2 linked regions of the Alligator mississippiensis genome follow. The protein of the gene in region 2 interacts with the protein of the main gene of each other region in a pairwise test. Links are inferred from orthologs where the notes say so. Each region holds a gene or a part of one and is shown on either strand. Other genes may lie near its edges.

What was found. The genes of interacting proteins can lie anywhere in the genome.
Region 1: the proteins of RAB3IP (region 2) and NAA10 interact in binary tests that used the Homo sapiens proteins (3 or more experiments, as listed by UniProt). The two-hybrid records come from large-scale screens. The link is inferred for Alligator mississippiensis from reciprocal best matches to the Homo sapiens genes RAB3IP and NAA10.

Annotation. Positions count from the first base shown.
Region 1 is NC_081831.1:28,666,417-28,674,122, reverse strand, and holds the start of NAA10 (N-alpha-acetyltransferase 10), read right to left. Parts: upstream 3,033-7,706; 5' UTR 2,943-3,032; coding exon 2,922-2,942; intron 2,785-2,921; coding exon 2,686-2,784; intron 2,281-2,685; coding exon 2,222-2,280; intron 1,886-2,221; coding exon 1,840-1,885; intron 1,290-1,839; coding exon 1,174-1,289; intron 403-1,173; coding exon 358-402; intron 93-357; coding exon 8-92; intron 1-7. Other genes in the region: PDZD4 (PDZ domain-containing protein 4), read right to left, coding at 5,904-7,127, 7,393-7,500. UniProt on the Homo sapiens protein: Catalytic subunit of N-terminal acetyltransferase complexes which display alpha (N-terminal) acetyltransferase activity. Acetylates amino termini that are devoid of initiator methionine.
Region 2 is NC_081827.1:70,099,761-70,106,994, reverse strand, and holds the start of RAB3IP (rab-3A-interacting protein), read right to left. Parts: upstream 3,005-7,234; 5' UTR 2,923-3,004; intron 1-2,922. UniProt on the Homo sapiens protein: Guanine nucleotide exchange factor (GEF) which may activate RAB8A and RAB8B. Promotes the exchange of GDP to GTP, converting inactive GDP-bound Rab proteins into their active GTP-bound form.

The DNA.
Region 1 (7,706 bases), on a different chromosome or scaffold from region 2:
TCCCCACCTCATCAGCCATCTGTGTGAGGTCCCTCTTCATGGCATAGGCGTCCTCCCCATCCGCATAGTACTTGGGCTCCACCTCGCTGATCCTACAGGTGGCCTCTTATTAATGGGGTGGAAATATTAAAGGGGGAGCCCAGGACCTGACTGGCACAGACAGTCCCATAGCTCCCTCCAATGCCCATAGCCAGTCCCCGCTGGCAGTCCTCCACTATCCCATCACCCCCAGGCTTCACCCCTACTACCCCCCCCGGCTCTCCCCCTGGATCCTCCACAAGCCTGTCATCCCCAGTCCTTTGCTATCACATCGTTCCCCAGGAGCCACCATTATCCCATCACCCCCCGTGGACTCACTGGAAGTTGAGGGTGTTGGAGTAGAGGTGCAGAGCTGCCCGGTTGCTACAAGACAAGGCGGGTATTAGGTGGGGGGGTGTTGCCCCAGGGCTCCCTAAGGCACAGTATTTGCCCTATCCCCAGGGGGGCATATCTGAGGGGGCAGCTCCCACTTCTGGTGAGGCATGAAGTGGTTTAGAAGAGCGTAAGTCACAGGGCAGGGTCATGAGGTTACCCCCCTCTCCACTCAGATAGTTGGTGTGGCTTCGGAGTTCAGGGGTCAGAGGTCATAGAATGAGTGGTGACCCACAGAGGGGGAACAGGGATCAGCCACCACCATGACACCATGAGGTGGTCAAGATCACAACCCTTTGGCATAATGGTATAAGGAGGCAGGATCACCATGGGATCAAAAGTCAAAACCCCTCCCCAGTGTGTGTGGGGGCTCAAGGTCACCATGGGGTCAAAGGTCAGGGGCCACTCATCACTATGGGGTGTAGTGGTCAGTGTAACTGTGGGGTCAGAGGTCAGGGCTCACACCCTTATGGCGAATGCATGGACAGTCAATGTCACTGTGAGGAGGTCAAAGGTCAAGGCTCATGTATGCATGTGTGTAAGATCAAGATAACCATGAGCTCAATAGTCAGGAGTTACTCACCACTATACTGTGTGGGGGATGAGAGTCATTATAGGGTTAAAAGTCAGGAGTCACTGCCCCTTTGGTCACCTGCAGCCCTATGGACATGGCTGGGGGAAGGCAGGACCAGGGTAGGGGGGATACAGGACTAGACCCAAGGGACCCCAGGGAACTCCAGGCAGGGGCTAGGGGTCACTCACCTCTTGCGGACATGCAGAGACACGTACTTGGCATTGAAATTTTCAATCATGGCACGAGAGGCCTGGTCCATGAGCTTCTGTGCCAGCCCCAGGCGCCGGTGAGAGCGTTTCACTGCCTGGGGGTGGAGAGGATGGTCAGGTACCCCCCAGTCCCCACCCCTGTCCCAGAGAACCCAGGCATCGGGGCATCCAGCCCCTCCCAGACCTCTGAACTAGGGAACCTGGGCATCCAGGCTCCTACCCCCCCCAGTCCCCACTCCCCTCCCAGAGAAACTAGGCATCCTGGTTCTCAGCCCCCTGTTCTCAATTCAAAACCCCCACCCACTCCCAGAGAACCCAGGTGTCTGGGCTTCCAGCCTCCCCAGACCTGCAAACTAGGGATCTCAGGTATCAGGGTTCCAGACCCCTTCTCACGTCCCACCCTCTCCCAAAGAACCCTATCATCCAGGCTCCCAGCACTCTCCTGCTCCTTCCCACCCAACAGACTCCAGAGAACCTAGGAGTCTGGGCTCCCAGCCCCACTTGCATCTGCCCTCCTCCCTCACCCGCTCCAGATCCCCTCCCCAAACCTCCATCATCTCCTTGCGGATGGGAGAAAATCCCCAGACTCCCATGTGCCCCCCACCAAACTAAGTGCCCGGGGTGGGGAAGGGAGGTAGGACTCACCAGAGAAGTGATGTGTCCGTGGGGGACATCATCGGGGTCTTCCTCCCTGGTGAGCAAATGAAGGAGCTCAGTCCCATGGTGGGGGTCTGCAGTGCCCCTCACTCCCAACCCGTAGCCTCCTCTACATCCCCACAATGTCCCTCGTTCCTGACCTGCAGCCCTGCTGATAGCCTCATGGTGCCCTTCACTTCCAATCTACAGCCCCACCTCCAACTACAGACCCACTCAACAACCTCACCCCCATATTGGTGCCCCTCATTCCCAACCTGCAGCCCTCCTGTAGCCTCATGGTGTCCCTCAGCATTACTTCTGACCCGCAGCCTGCCGCATACAGCACAGCAGTGCCCCTCACTCCCAACCTGCAGCCGGTGACCCCACTCACATCTTGGCCAGTACATAGCCTACGATCTTCCCATTCTCATCTTCAGCGATGTAGGACAGCTGGGGGAGCAGATACAAATTAGGGGGCAAGGGGATCCCCCCAATCCTCTCTGTGCCCCTCACTCTGGACCCGGAGCACCCCCCCTCATAGGGCCAGGGGAGTGGGGGAGGGGTGGGGTTCCAGCTGGGAGGAAGGGGTGAGGCATTTATTTAATACCTTTAATGAGGTATGAAATACCCTTGGGCATCTCCTGGGTGGTGGCTGGAGCGACAGGCAGGGCCCTGTCAAACCAGCCTGGGCTCCTATCCACTGCCTTGGCAAGCCTCCCTGAGCTGGGAAGGAACCCAGGCATCCTGGTTTCGAGCCCCCTCCCCTCTCCGAGAACCCAGGAGTCCGGGCTCCTAGTCCCTACTATCACCCCGCCAGACCCCACCCTCCCAAGGAACCGAGAAGTCCGGGCGCACCTGTGGCCAAGACAGGCCGTGGTAGAAGTAGTACTTCATCTGGTAGTTCTCGGGCAGACACAGCAGGTTGCAGTGCTGCATGTTCATCAAGTCCTCGGGCTGCGGGGGGTAGAGAGGGCAGGTGAGAGGGCAGCGGACCCAGGGATCCGGGCCCTCACCCGCCCCCCAACTCCCAAGAGACCCAGGCGTCCGGGCTCCTCACCGCCCCCCCCAGGCACCCAAACCCTCCCCCGCACCCGCGCGTTGCGGATGTTCATGGCTCTCGCTCGGCCACTCCAGGTCCAGCTCCATGAGGGGCCGCCGGGGGAAAGGGGCAGGGCACAGGAAGCCACACTTGCCCTCCCCTCGGGCCAAGCTAGGCAAATCGGAGACCAACTTGGCCCCGCTGAACAGGCCCTTAGGCCAATCAGAGGCCAGGAGCCTCTGGCTTCCAGCTCCGCCAATGGGGAAGCAGGAGGGAAGATGAAGTCCCGTCTCCGCCTGGCTGCCAATCAATCGGCGCCGGATAGCCCCGCCCACCCATGGCCTCAGCTTCCTATTGGGCAACATGGAGGGTTTGGTTTCGCCTACATCCTGAGCATTAGCCAGTCACGAGCGTGGCTGCAGAGTTAAGCCCTACTTCTAGCCAATCAAATGATAGACTCCATAGTCCCGCCCCCATGGTGGAGGCAGCCAATCACATGGTTTAAGAGGCAGGACCAAATCCCGGCCAGTCACAGTCTAGAATCCCTCGATTGGCGTTTGCTTGGGCTCCAAGAAGCCAATCAGTAGACAGGAGGCGGCATCGTCTGCCGAGCCAATCCTGAGCAGGAGACCCCCCCGTGATGGTTTCTCCCGCCCGCTCACCCTCAGCACCAATCATAGCCCTGAAGGGCATGGAGTGACAGTCACGAGGACCAATGAGAGCAAAGGCAAAGGAGGCGATGTCTCTGGTGTAGTGCTGCTAGCTTCTTTGAAGTAGTGTCCTCAGATGGGGGTGGGGTTCAGAGGGTGGGCGTCTAGGTTCTCTGCGAGGGGAGTAGGGGCGGCTCGGAGCCAAGATAACCCAAAGCGGTGGGGTGGGAGTGGGGGGCACCGCCGGAACAGCCGCCTCCAGCCCGCAGTTACCATTACTGTCATTTCCTGGTTTCTTCATCTTGATTGGATTGATTAAAGAGCACAGGCGTCCGGGCTCTTCTGGGACAGGGGCTTCACCCCAAGCCTGACTCGGGGGCGTTTCCTGCTCCCACACTAATGCGGGCTCTGGGGTGGAGCTCCTCACTACCTGGCTCCGGGTGGGCCGGAGTCAAACCCAGTCGCCTGACTCCCAGACTGGGTGGGTGGGCCTAACCCCCAAGCCCCGCCCCGAGGTGGTTTCCCCCCCCCCCCTCCAATGCCGCTGGTTCTGGGGTGGAAGCGGTAGAGGATGGGGGGCTCTGGGGGTGACCCGCCCCCTCAAGAAAGCAACAACCCGGAGGCGACGACTTGAAACGAGTAAAAACCACCCGGCGCTTTATTCTCACGGCGCCCCCGGGACCCAGGCGTCCGGGAGGACCTCCCCTGCCCCCACCCGCACCGCGCTGTACAACCAACGAACCCCCTGCTGAGGGCGGGCGTGGGGTGAAGAGACAAGCAATGAGGAGGGGCGCGGGGGACCTGGACGCCTGGGTTCCCTTCCGGTTGGGGGAGGTGGGGCGGGGAGCAAAGACGCCTGGGTTCCTCGGGGCATTGGAGGGGAGCTACGGGGCGAGGCGGGGACCCCGGTCGTCTGGGTCCGTTGGGCATTGAAGAAGTATGCAGGGGGAACCAAGATGCCTGGGTTCCCTCCAGGGTGGGGGGAGAGGAAGAGGGGCAAGGGCTGAGAGCTAGGGTACCTAGGTTCAACGTTGGAAAGGTGGGGAGCATGGAAGGTGGGTGAGGCAAGGACACAAGACTTCTTTGCTGGCATGGGCTACAGGGAACTTGGGAGGGAGCAGGGTGTGCCCTAGGTTCCCTAGGTATTGGCTGGGGGAGGGGGGGGTATCTGATAGGGATGAGCATTGGGGGAACCTGAATGCCTAGGTTCTCTGTGCTCTGGGGGAGGGGAAGGTTCTAAGCACCTGGGGCCCCTGGCCACTGAGGGAAGGGGGAGGTTGGAGGCAGGGAAGGAGGTAGGGAAGCCTTAGGCACCTAGGTTACTCCCCTTTCCCAAGAGATACAGATGGCAAACCACAAACACCCACAATCACAGACACAAGCAAGCCCCGCAGGGGAGATCCCCCCCCCCCCCCCCCCGCCTGTCCTTGTGCTGGGGGGGGGCAGGTAATCCTAGCCCTCCCACCATTGTCCATAGGCTGGGGGCAGCTGCAAGCAGGGGGGCCTGGCTTCTTGGAGGGAGGGGTATCCCCACTGGATGGATGTCAGGGTTCTGCTCATGGGGACCCCTTTTTCCAGCATCTCCTTACAGGCTCTTCCATTCGTTCAACCCCCTCCTAAAGCCAGCCCCCAGTTCTGTGGCACACCTCCTCCCCCTTGGGGGGGGGGGGCACTTTCAGCTAGTCCCCCCCCTCCCTCCAATTCATTTCAGGACCTTTCCAATGCGGGGGGTGCGTCCCTGTACATGGTCTTGGGAGAAAGGAACCCAGACATCTGGGTTCTTTCAGGCGCTTGTTCCACCTGAAAGTCTGGGGTACTGGTAGCCTAGCCATGGTGTCAGTGTGGTTTGCTTGGCCTGGTAACGCCTCTACAGGGCCCAGGCCAGGCAGCACCAGGTTGACAGTGGCTACAAAGCCTCCCCAGGCACAGTCTTGGTCACTTTGCCCCTGCTGCCTACTTTTCTTGGCAAAACCCCTCCAGACCCAGCAGGGAAGGGTGACAGTGGCTATATTGTCCCTGTGGCCTACTGAACCTAGTGAACCTTCCCCACGCCGGGCTAGGGCAGGAAGTGCCAGACCAATAGCAGCCACATTGCCCGCACAGCTTGCTCGGCCCAGCAAAGCCTCCCAGGCCCTTGCTTGGCTGGGGTGGGCATCGCCAGGGCAACAGCAGCCATGTCACCCCTGTGGCCTATTCTTCTTGGCAAAGCCACCCTTGGCCCTAGACTTAGACCAAAGGTCAGTACTGCAAAAGCAATGGTGGCCATTTTGTCCTTGTGGCTGACTAAGCCTGGCAAAGCCTCCCACAGCCACAAGCTCAGCGGGGCCAGCCTTGCCAGGGCAACAGGCCTTGTGGGAGGTGGAGGCGGGGGGTGGAACTCCCCCTCAGACAGTAGTGACAGAGAGCAGGGGGTTGTAGAGCCGCCGGCCGTCGGCCCCACGGCTGCCATGGGCCAGCATCTCCTGGATGGTCAGCCAGTTGTCGAGGATGCGGCGGCTCCGCTTCCTCAGTGTCTTGCGGTGGCCCAGGGCCACGGCTGAGGTCTCGGGGGATGCCCCTGCTGCTTCCAGCCGGCTCTGGAGCATCAGCTCACGGCGCCGGCGCTGCTCCCGGGCTCGGGCCAGGTGCTGCTTGCGTTCTTCTCGGCTCCAGTAGCGGCCCAACTTCAGCTCGCTCATGGCATCGTCATCGGTTGTCATCCCGCTTCTTTCCTCCCTGATCTTCAAGGCCCGTGCCTTGAGAAGCCGGTCTCTCACAGGCCTCTTGGCACCTTTGCCCCGCCATTCCCCACCCCGGCCTACTCCTGGCAAGGCTTCGCTGGCACACAGAGGCACTAGGCCTGGCGGTGCTGAAGCAACAACAGCCATGTTGTCCTTGCGGCCTAGACGACTGGGTGAAGCTTCCCGGGGGCTACGCTTGGTTGGACGGGCCTCACTAGGGCGCCGAGTTTTTGGGGGACCTGGAGGCCGGTTGAGGTTGCCCATGGGGGGCTGGCGGAGTGGGCTCTCCAGCTGAGGGGTGCTGCGGCAGCTCTCACCTGTGTTATAGGCGCTTTCAGGGAGCTCCGTGATATCAGCCAAGGCATGGGGGGGGCCGCCTAGGGAGACTTCATAGCCCCCTGGCCCCCCATCTTCCAATAGCCAGGCCTTGAGGCACCGCTCCCGCAACTGCTGCATCTTTTGGGCACGGAGAATGTTGCGGCACTTGAATTCCAGGTGCCGCAGCTCCTCCTCCAGCAAAGCTACCTCATTGCGGTTGACATCCAGGCCCCCTGGCACCCCCCGGTAAAGGGGGGGACCCTGGTTGCCATTCTGGAGGTGCCCCCGTAGCTCCAGAAGCTCACGATATCTTTCAGCCTCCTCCGGGGTGAGGCCTGGGGTGGCTGGGGGGCTAGGTGGAGGGACCACAGCATCTGGGAGGGGCTCACCACGGCGCTGCAGGGCTGGGGTGCCAGTGCCGCTGGGGGGCTCATCACCTAGCAAGTCATGCTCCGAACTCTCCTCATTGCGGGTGCTCTCATCTGTGCGGCCAACCCCACTGTCTGGCTCCCCCAAGGCCGGAGGGGCTGCAGGGGGGGGCAGTGGCAGGGCTGGGGTGGCCATTTGGGGCTGTGGGGGAGGGAGAGAAGGAGGCTGGTGGGGAGAAGACCCAGGTGTCTAGGCCCCCCGCTACAGTACCGTGGCTCGGGAGCAGAAGACAACCCAGGGTGTGGCTGGGGCCCAGGCACCTACACCCGAGAGGGGATTGTGAGGGGGAACTCAGCTGTCCACGACCCCCAGCTCCAACCCACAGCAGATATGGGGGGTGTTAGGAAAGAGAACCTAGGCATGTAGGCTCCCAGCCCCACCCCTGATGGGCCCCCCCTCATCTCACCTGGCCTGGGGCAGCACGGGGGGGTCGGGGTCGTGCCTCATCCTCGGGGTCAGAGCCGAAGTCATCAAGGAAATCTTCGCGGTCACTGTCCTTCCAGTGCTTTGACAGCTGGGGTGGAGAGTTAAGAGCCAGCCCCTCCCCAGTGGGGCCCCCCTTTGCTGTCACGCCCCCCTCCCCCCCCCCGGGCTTCCCAATCCCCTAGCACATTTTCCTCAGCCCTCCACTACCCCAATCCCTTCCCCCCCACAGCCAGCTCCAATCTCTTAACCCATTTGCCCAGCCAGCCTGGGATCCCCTAAAGCCTTTCCCTATCT
Region 2 (7,234 bases):
CAGCATGAAAAAAACCACACTGCAACGTACAGGAGTTGTACCTACTAAAGTCACCAGAAACAACCAATATTCAAGGATAAACACCTAAATGCTTATAATGCCCATAAAGCTTTGTGAAGTCTATAAAAAACATTAATACCCTGCTTAAAAGCTGAGGGTTACAATACCTTTTTGCTAAAATGAAAGCCAGTACTGCACAATATAATCCACTGGTGTCGTTAAAATTGGATTTTTTTCACTTTCAGTTAACATATCAATGTCCTAGATTTTAAGTGTTTTCCTATATACAGTCTTCATTTTTACAATAAATGCTAATTCATTTAAGTTAATGCAACTTAGTTAGTTCCTCCAAAATAGTCTGTCCACACTACTTTTTGGATTTTAGGTCTAGTTCCACTGCTACTGAATTGAGTGGAATTCAATAGCTATTGAGCAGCTAACAAAGTTGAAGTTTTTAGTTAGAACAACAAAACTATGCTTTACAGGTTTTTAAAGCTCTACAGAATTGCTTGGAGACATTCATAATGAAGTACTCCCTTCTTTATTTTTTTTGGAAAACAGTAATTATATGAATGACATCAGCATGAACCTGCATTATTCAAAAGAGATTTTACTTAAACTGAGATGGAGATAGTCTTAAATACCATACTTCTGAATCTATTATTACAAAAACTAGGCATTAAAAAAAAGGTTAGAAGGAAGTTGCTTCTTTGACAGATGTAACAAAATGTACTAAGAAGACTATAAAAGCTATTCACTAGAATTTTAAAATCATTCAATCTGAATTTTAAATAAAGTGAATACAGGAGTTGAGACTAACAACTATTAATCTTCCTCTAAGATGCAAAAATAAATCCTTCAATGAAAAAGATTGTTTTAATTGTTCAGCTGGAAAAAGCTTACCCATTTAAATATAATGAAAAGGATGCAAGTGTTCTGGGTACTACACTGTCAGCTGCAGTGTATATTCACATTTGTTATTTATTACAAGCATAATGACACTGGTAAATTATTTATCCTTCTTTACTCAAAAGGTAATAGTAACCTAGTGCAACAGAAGTATAATCCTGCTAAATGAGACCCAAAAGGTAAGCCTGATACAGCCATGCTCAGAATGCATGAAAACATACTTAACCGTAATACAATGCAAAAAAAGCAAAAAAACCTCTACAAAAAATCATAACCAATCAGGCTTCAGTTTTTGCTCCATATTCCCAACCTCTCTCTTTGTCAAGGAATATGGATATGCTTAAACATATGACATCTGCCAGTACATACTTCAAAATAAAATACCCTTACTCCTGCTCCTAAAAGGAAACAGCTAATGATGTTAGTTACTGAACAGTCCATAAAAACAGTCACCATACCTGACTGTGTGTAAAGTGACAGTTTCAAGTAAATAGAGTAAACTAATAAAGTAATACAAAGTAAAGGTAAGTGACCAAGGGTGCCAACAACAAATAAAGTAAGGCAACAGTCCGGAACTGGTGAAAATATTGCAATGATATATTAGCTGCGGCTACAAATAACCGCTCAAGATTTTGCTGCTTTGCGTGCCGTCTGCCAAAAAAAGTTTGTCATAAAGCTTACGAATCCAGTACAATAAACAAAATATATAGGAAGGTGTCAGGCAGTGCTGGGTCAGCTGTACAAAAGCTATGCCCAGAACTTTCTTTAGGAGGAGAAAAAATGATCTGTGGGGTGATGCTTTGGTTCCAAAACAACCCTAATTTCATAATGCAGTCAATTAAAACCTCACTACTTAACAGTGCGAGTATTTAAACCACTGCTCAGAAGACAAGGTTCTTTGGGTAAATGCGATATCTTTTATTAGACCAACTCAGTTGGAAAAAATCTTTCTTCCAATTATTTGAGTTGGTCTAATAAAAGATATCGCATTTACCCAAAGAACCTTGTCTGCCCATGCCCTTAGACCAACCTACTCCCTCTAAAACATTGCTCTACAGTGACAAGGTGTGATATGGCCTGCAGATCTTAAATGAAATAAAAAACAAGCCTGCAATCTTTATCGCACCACAGGTGGCAAATACTAAGTGGGTAAGCACTACTTTTAAAAAAATAACTCAAGAACAATGCCATTGGAGGCCAAGATTTCAAGGGCAAGCTTCAACATCAAACTGAGCAAACAGTGTTAGGAGCCTGCTTCTCACCTAGGCAGGGCCGGACACAGGCATGGGCGAACCAGGCCCAGACAGAAAGGGGGCCCGAAAATGGTGAAAATAATTATGATTATTATCATTATCTCTGGCAAATACAAGTTCACCTGGGGCCACGAGGAGTCTAGGTCCAGTGCTGCACCTAGGGCAGCGCAAGAGCCACGTGGCAGCTGTGACGGTCCTAAAATGATAGGAGGCTGGGATCACTTAGGATGACACCTTTTATTGAATCAACCTGTGCCGCTGGGGTCCGAGCCAGGCAGGCCGATACCGCTGGCCCAACACAAGGCATCACTGTGAGGGTGACACTGCCTTGCACCTCGCCTCAGACACACTCTCCTCTTTCCCATCCCACTTTTTAGGGCCCCCTTTTCACCCAGGCTTCGTTGTCTGAGGTATCACAGAGGTTTCCCTGCAACAGCAGCTCATCACGGGCGTATTTCCCTCTCACCTCAGCAATTAAAAAAAAAAAACACAGTCTCCCCCCCCAAGCGCCTCATCTGGGCCGCATCCCCACCACCAAGCCCATCTCCCCCGCCCCGGGCTTCAACCGCAGCCCCCAGGTTGCTCCCAAGCCGCGGAGCCACAGGCGGCCCCGACAGCCCAGCGGGTCCCTCGGGGCCGGCTCTGCCCCGCTCCCGCTCCCCCTCCCCCTTGGCCCGCCGGCGCCTGAGGCGGCCGCGAGAAGCAGAGCGGGGAGGGTAGCCCCCCCGCGCGCGCGGCCCCAGCGGCCGCCGCCCCTCACCTGCCGAGCGCCAGCCGCCACCTCCGCCTGCCCGAGCGGCTGCGTGGGGGCGGGGCGCCAGCCTACGATGGCGCATGCGCTACTGCGAAGCGGCCGCCTCCCTCAGGGCCTGCAGGTGCTGCCGTGGCCCCGCCCCCTCACACGGGAGGCGGGGCGGGGCGTGGGGGCGCAGGGCCGCGCGGCGCGATTGAGACGCGAGTTCGAGTGCTGGCGTGTCCGTTCGCGCCTTTCTCTTCAGGTGGAGAAAAGCACCGGGGGCGGAGCGGCTCCGCCTGCAGCTGGGCAGACGCGCTGGGCCGGGGAAGCTTCTGTGTCCCAGCCCAGCTCCCCTCACCCCCTTCCCCCAAGGTTGGCAATAGGGGCAGGAGCCTCTCTGAAGGTCCTGGGATAGGAGCTTCCCACCCTCCCCCCAGCCGGCAGGGGAGAAAGCAGCAGCAGCAGCCGGCAGGGGAGAGGTGCATCCGAGCACTGGGTAGTGCTCACCTGCTTTGGGGACTTGGAAAAAGTCCTCAGAGGCTCCTGCGGGGCAAGGCAATGCGGTTCAAAACCAGGGTGCAGCCGCACCTCTGCTGCACCCCCTCTGGATCCGCTCCTGGCTGCTGCCAGTTGGCTATAAACTTTGGGGGAGTAGGAATAAAAGGGACCACCCACCCCTGTCTAACCTATTAGCAAAATACACCACTCCAACATGGCACAGGCAAAGGGAGAGTACTGGATAATGAGGCACCGGAGCTTGACTTCCCCAAGCGCCAGTCGCAGGAGAGCAGTGCTCTGAAGGGATGAAATGCTAGAAAACACTGCTTTTTCTATCAAGTCCCCAAACTGTCAGGGGCAATCCCTCGATTCAAGGATGATCTACCCCAGTTCATTGATGGGGTCTTGAGATGATTTTTGAGGCCAATCCTTGAGCCATAGATCCGTCTGCAGAAGTTGCAGGTCTTCTCTCCTTTTCCTTCCTCTGCTCTCTCTTCTCTGCTTTGAGAGCAAGACACTTTGCCTCAAAATGGGCTGCTGCTTGCTTGCAGTTGCAGCGCCACTGGAGCTGGTCAGGAGACAGCTTATCCCAACTCTTGATGTCAGCATCCATTTTCTTGAGGTATGCCTTCAATGTGTCCTTATAACATGTCCCCTGGCCACTGCGAGACCTCAGGCCATTACCAAGATGGGAGTAGAGCACTTGTTTTGGGAGTTGAGAGTCGGCCATCTGTACACAACACCCAGTCCAGCACAGTTTGTGCTCAAGGATCATGGACTCAGCACAGGCAACATTGGCTTTAGCAAGGAAGCTGGCATTTGTGCAGCAATTTTCCCATTTGATGTGAAAGATTTTCTGGAGATTTTCGTTGATGATACCTCCCAAAGCTCTTAAGATGACAACAGTAAATCACCCACCTTTCACATCTGTAGAGGAGACTGGGGATGATGATGGCGTCGTAGACCTGAATCTTGGAGTCTCTCCAGAGATTGCAATGAATAGACATGCCAAGTCCTTAAATGGAGCCCCCCACCTTGGTGTCCACATTTGCTGCAAATGTCTCTGGGCCTCCATTCCTGAGACATACAATGAGAATAAAATATCCCCTTAATTCCCAAGGAGGACACATTTTTTATTAATAGTTGGGATGAGCACCTTGCAGAAGGTGCCATGAGGAAGCTAATAATGGTATTCAGGACAGGGAATGATGGGTGTGTAGAAAATAAGGCTTCAAGCCATGTAGTGAACAATAAGGAGAAAATGAAACATTGAATAGCTGCTCCTTCAGGGAGCATTGTTCAACCCGGGTGCTGAGTGAGGCAGTGACCGGCACAAAACAGTCTGTGCTCATAGAACTGAAGACTGGATCATAACCTCTGCACTTGGGCAGGGGTGTCAAACTCCTGCCCTGGGCTGTATCTGGACTGCACAGCTCCTTTGTGGGCTGGATCTGGCATTGAGCACAGGATGGGGACAGCTTGATCAGTGGGGAGACTAGCAGGAACAACAGTGAGAGCGGCATGGACAACAATATTAGGGCCATAGGCGACACGTAGGGAGAGAACGGGGGCGGGGCATGTGCCCCCCAATTAAAGGGCCATCCCCACTGCTGACACTGCCAGTGGCAGCGTCAACAGGTGCTTGGTGCCCCCCCCGCAGTGGCGTACCGACAGGGGGGAACAGAGGGTTGGTCCCCTGGTGGCAATTCCAGTTTCACTGCTGGCATTTCTGGGCTCGGTGATGGGCCGGACCCCCTCTGCTCAGCAATCAGGTGCCCCCCCTCCCCCCCCCCCCCCCCCTGCTGATTCAGGAGGCATCAGTCGCCCATGGATAGGGCAAGTGGCAATGGGATCAGTAGCCTGGTAGATGGGATAAAGTGGCCCCCCATGGACAGGATCCAACCCATGGGCCATGTTTGACACTCCTATATTAGAATTAAAATCAAATTACACAATTAAAATTGTTCTAACCTTAATTCAGGCATAATTCAACCCTACTTTGAATAGTTGATATTGCAACCTTAACATGCTCTTCATGTAAGGTTTTTTTGTATTGCATCATTACTAAAGCTATATGACATTTTTCTGTCCTCACATGTATGCTTCATCCTGTGAAGCGCTGTTCTACTCCTTGTCTTGTATTTTTTATGCCTTTGCTACAAGCCAGAAATGGTAGGAGGGTTAATGCTGACAGGACTCCAGTCGACCATCAGCCTGGCGAGAGCAGGCCTGCAGAATGCAATGACTGAAATAGCAGTAGTAGTTTGGCTGCACCTTTGCTGTCTGTCACCGTTGTTATTAGTTATTGAGCTGAAAGCATCGCAGCAATGGTAGGGAATTTTCTCAAATACCTTCTAATGCAGACACTATCATTTAATTCATGAAGTTGGGAGATCCAGGTCACATTTCAGTTACCTATTAAAATGTTACTTATCTTGACAGTTTTCCATAGAACTTGTGTAAAAATCCCGTTTGTCCAGTCCTGCAAGATATAGCCACAGAAAAATAATGGTCTTTTTGAGACCTAAGCCACAAGATAAAGAACTCTGTTAAGAAAGAAGGAAAATCCTTGGAGACCAAGTGACATGACAAAAAGAATGCAAAACAGACATAGGTATCAATATCCTATATCAATCTGGTAGGCAATACAATTCAAAGGCATTCTAGCATTTGCAAAAAGACTCAGAGAACAGAGATTCTTGAATTCAAGGCAAGTACATAGCCTTGGTTCTGCAAACCCTTATAATACAATTTCATTCACTGATACTATAATTAATTGAAACAGAATCCAATCAATCCTGTTTGAACCTAGTTTTGCCAAAATTGAGGGCACATTGTGGAAAAAAATCCTAAAAAACATTGTTGCAAACCAGACATTTCAAATGGAATCAAAATGTTAAGAAAATGGCATCACAACCCTTCCTCATTATACATTCTTGTCTGTGGACTATAAGAAATCCTACAGTCCTTAATCCTGTAAAATGTCTATAATTGGCATGACAATCTTCAGTCTTTGCCAGATTAGTTAGCAGGCAGCCCGAGAAACAGAATAAAAGGCAATATAGTTCCAGAGACATTTGAGTAAGCTAAAATTAATCTTTAACAGAATTACTTTGTCAAAATAATCTCTCATATTTTGAAATTTGTACCTACTTTGAATCTCAAAAAAGTAAGACCAATAATCTGCAGAGAACATAATTAATATAGTTAAAACTGAAAACTGAAGCTATTAAAAATGTTTTTCTTCATGAATCTATTACTAAAAAGAAATTAATTGATTTTATGTTTTAAAACAAAGTTTTATATTCCCCTGTGATTTCTCTCTGGTTTGATTCCTTTTTTAAAAAGCAATGTTTTATTGTTAATATAAATGCACAAAATCACAGCTGTCATTAAAATGATGTGCAGCCAACAGCCTAGATAGACTAGTTTATGCCCTCATTTTTGTAGTCTATGCAGCAGTAATGTACCCTGAAAGCTCTGTTCAGTAAAACGATATAACCCCCAAGTTCTGGTCTTTAGAAACGAGTGGAAGTTTGTTGTTTGTCTGGGTGTGTGTTTCCCTCTTCCTGCCACCCAGAAGCTGCATTATCTCAAAGGCCACTAATACTTGCTATAACCATGCAACCTTTCAAGTAAGCTTCTTAAGTCATTCTTTGTCATCCTTTTAGGTTCCTCAGATGCTTAATTAGCTCTGGTACAAAATAATGCCTCATCCTATCTACAACTGACTGGAAAATCCCATCCCATCCTATTACAATCAGACTTTGCAACAATAAACAAGCATTGATGACTGCCAGGCTTGATTACTTCTCTCTAGTCGAGGAATAGGATGCCT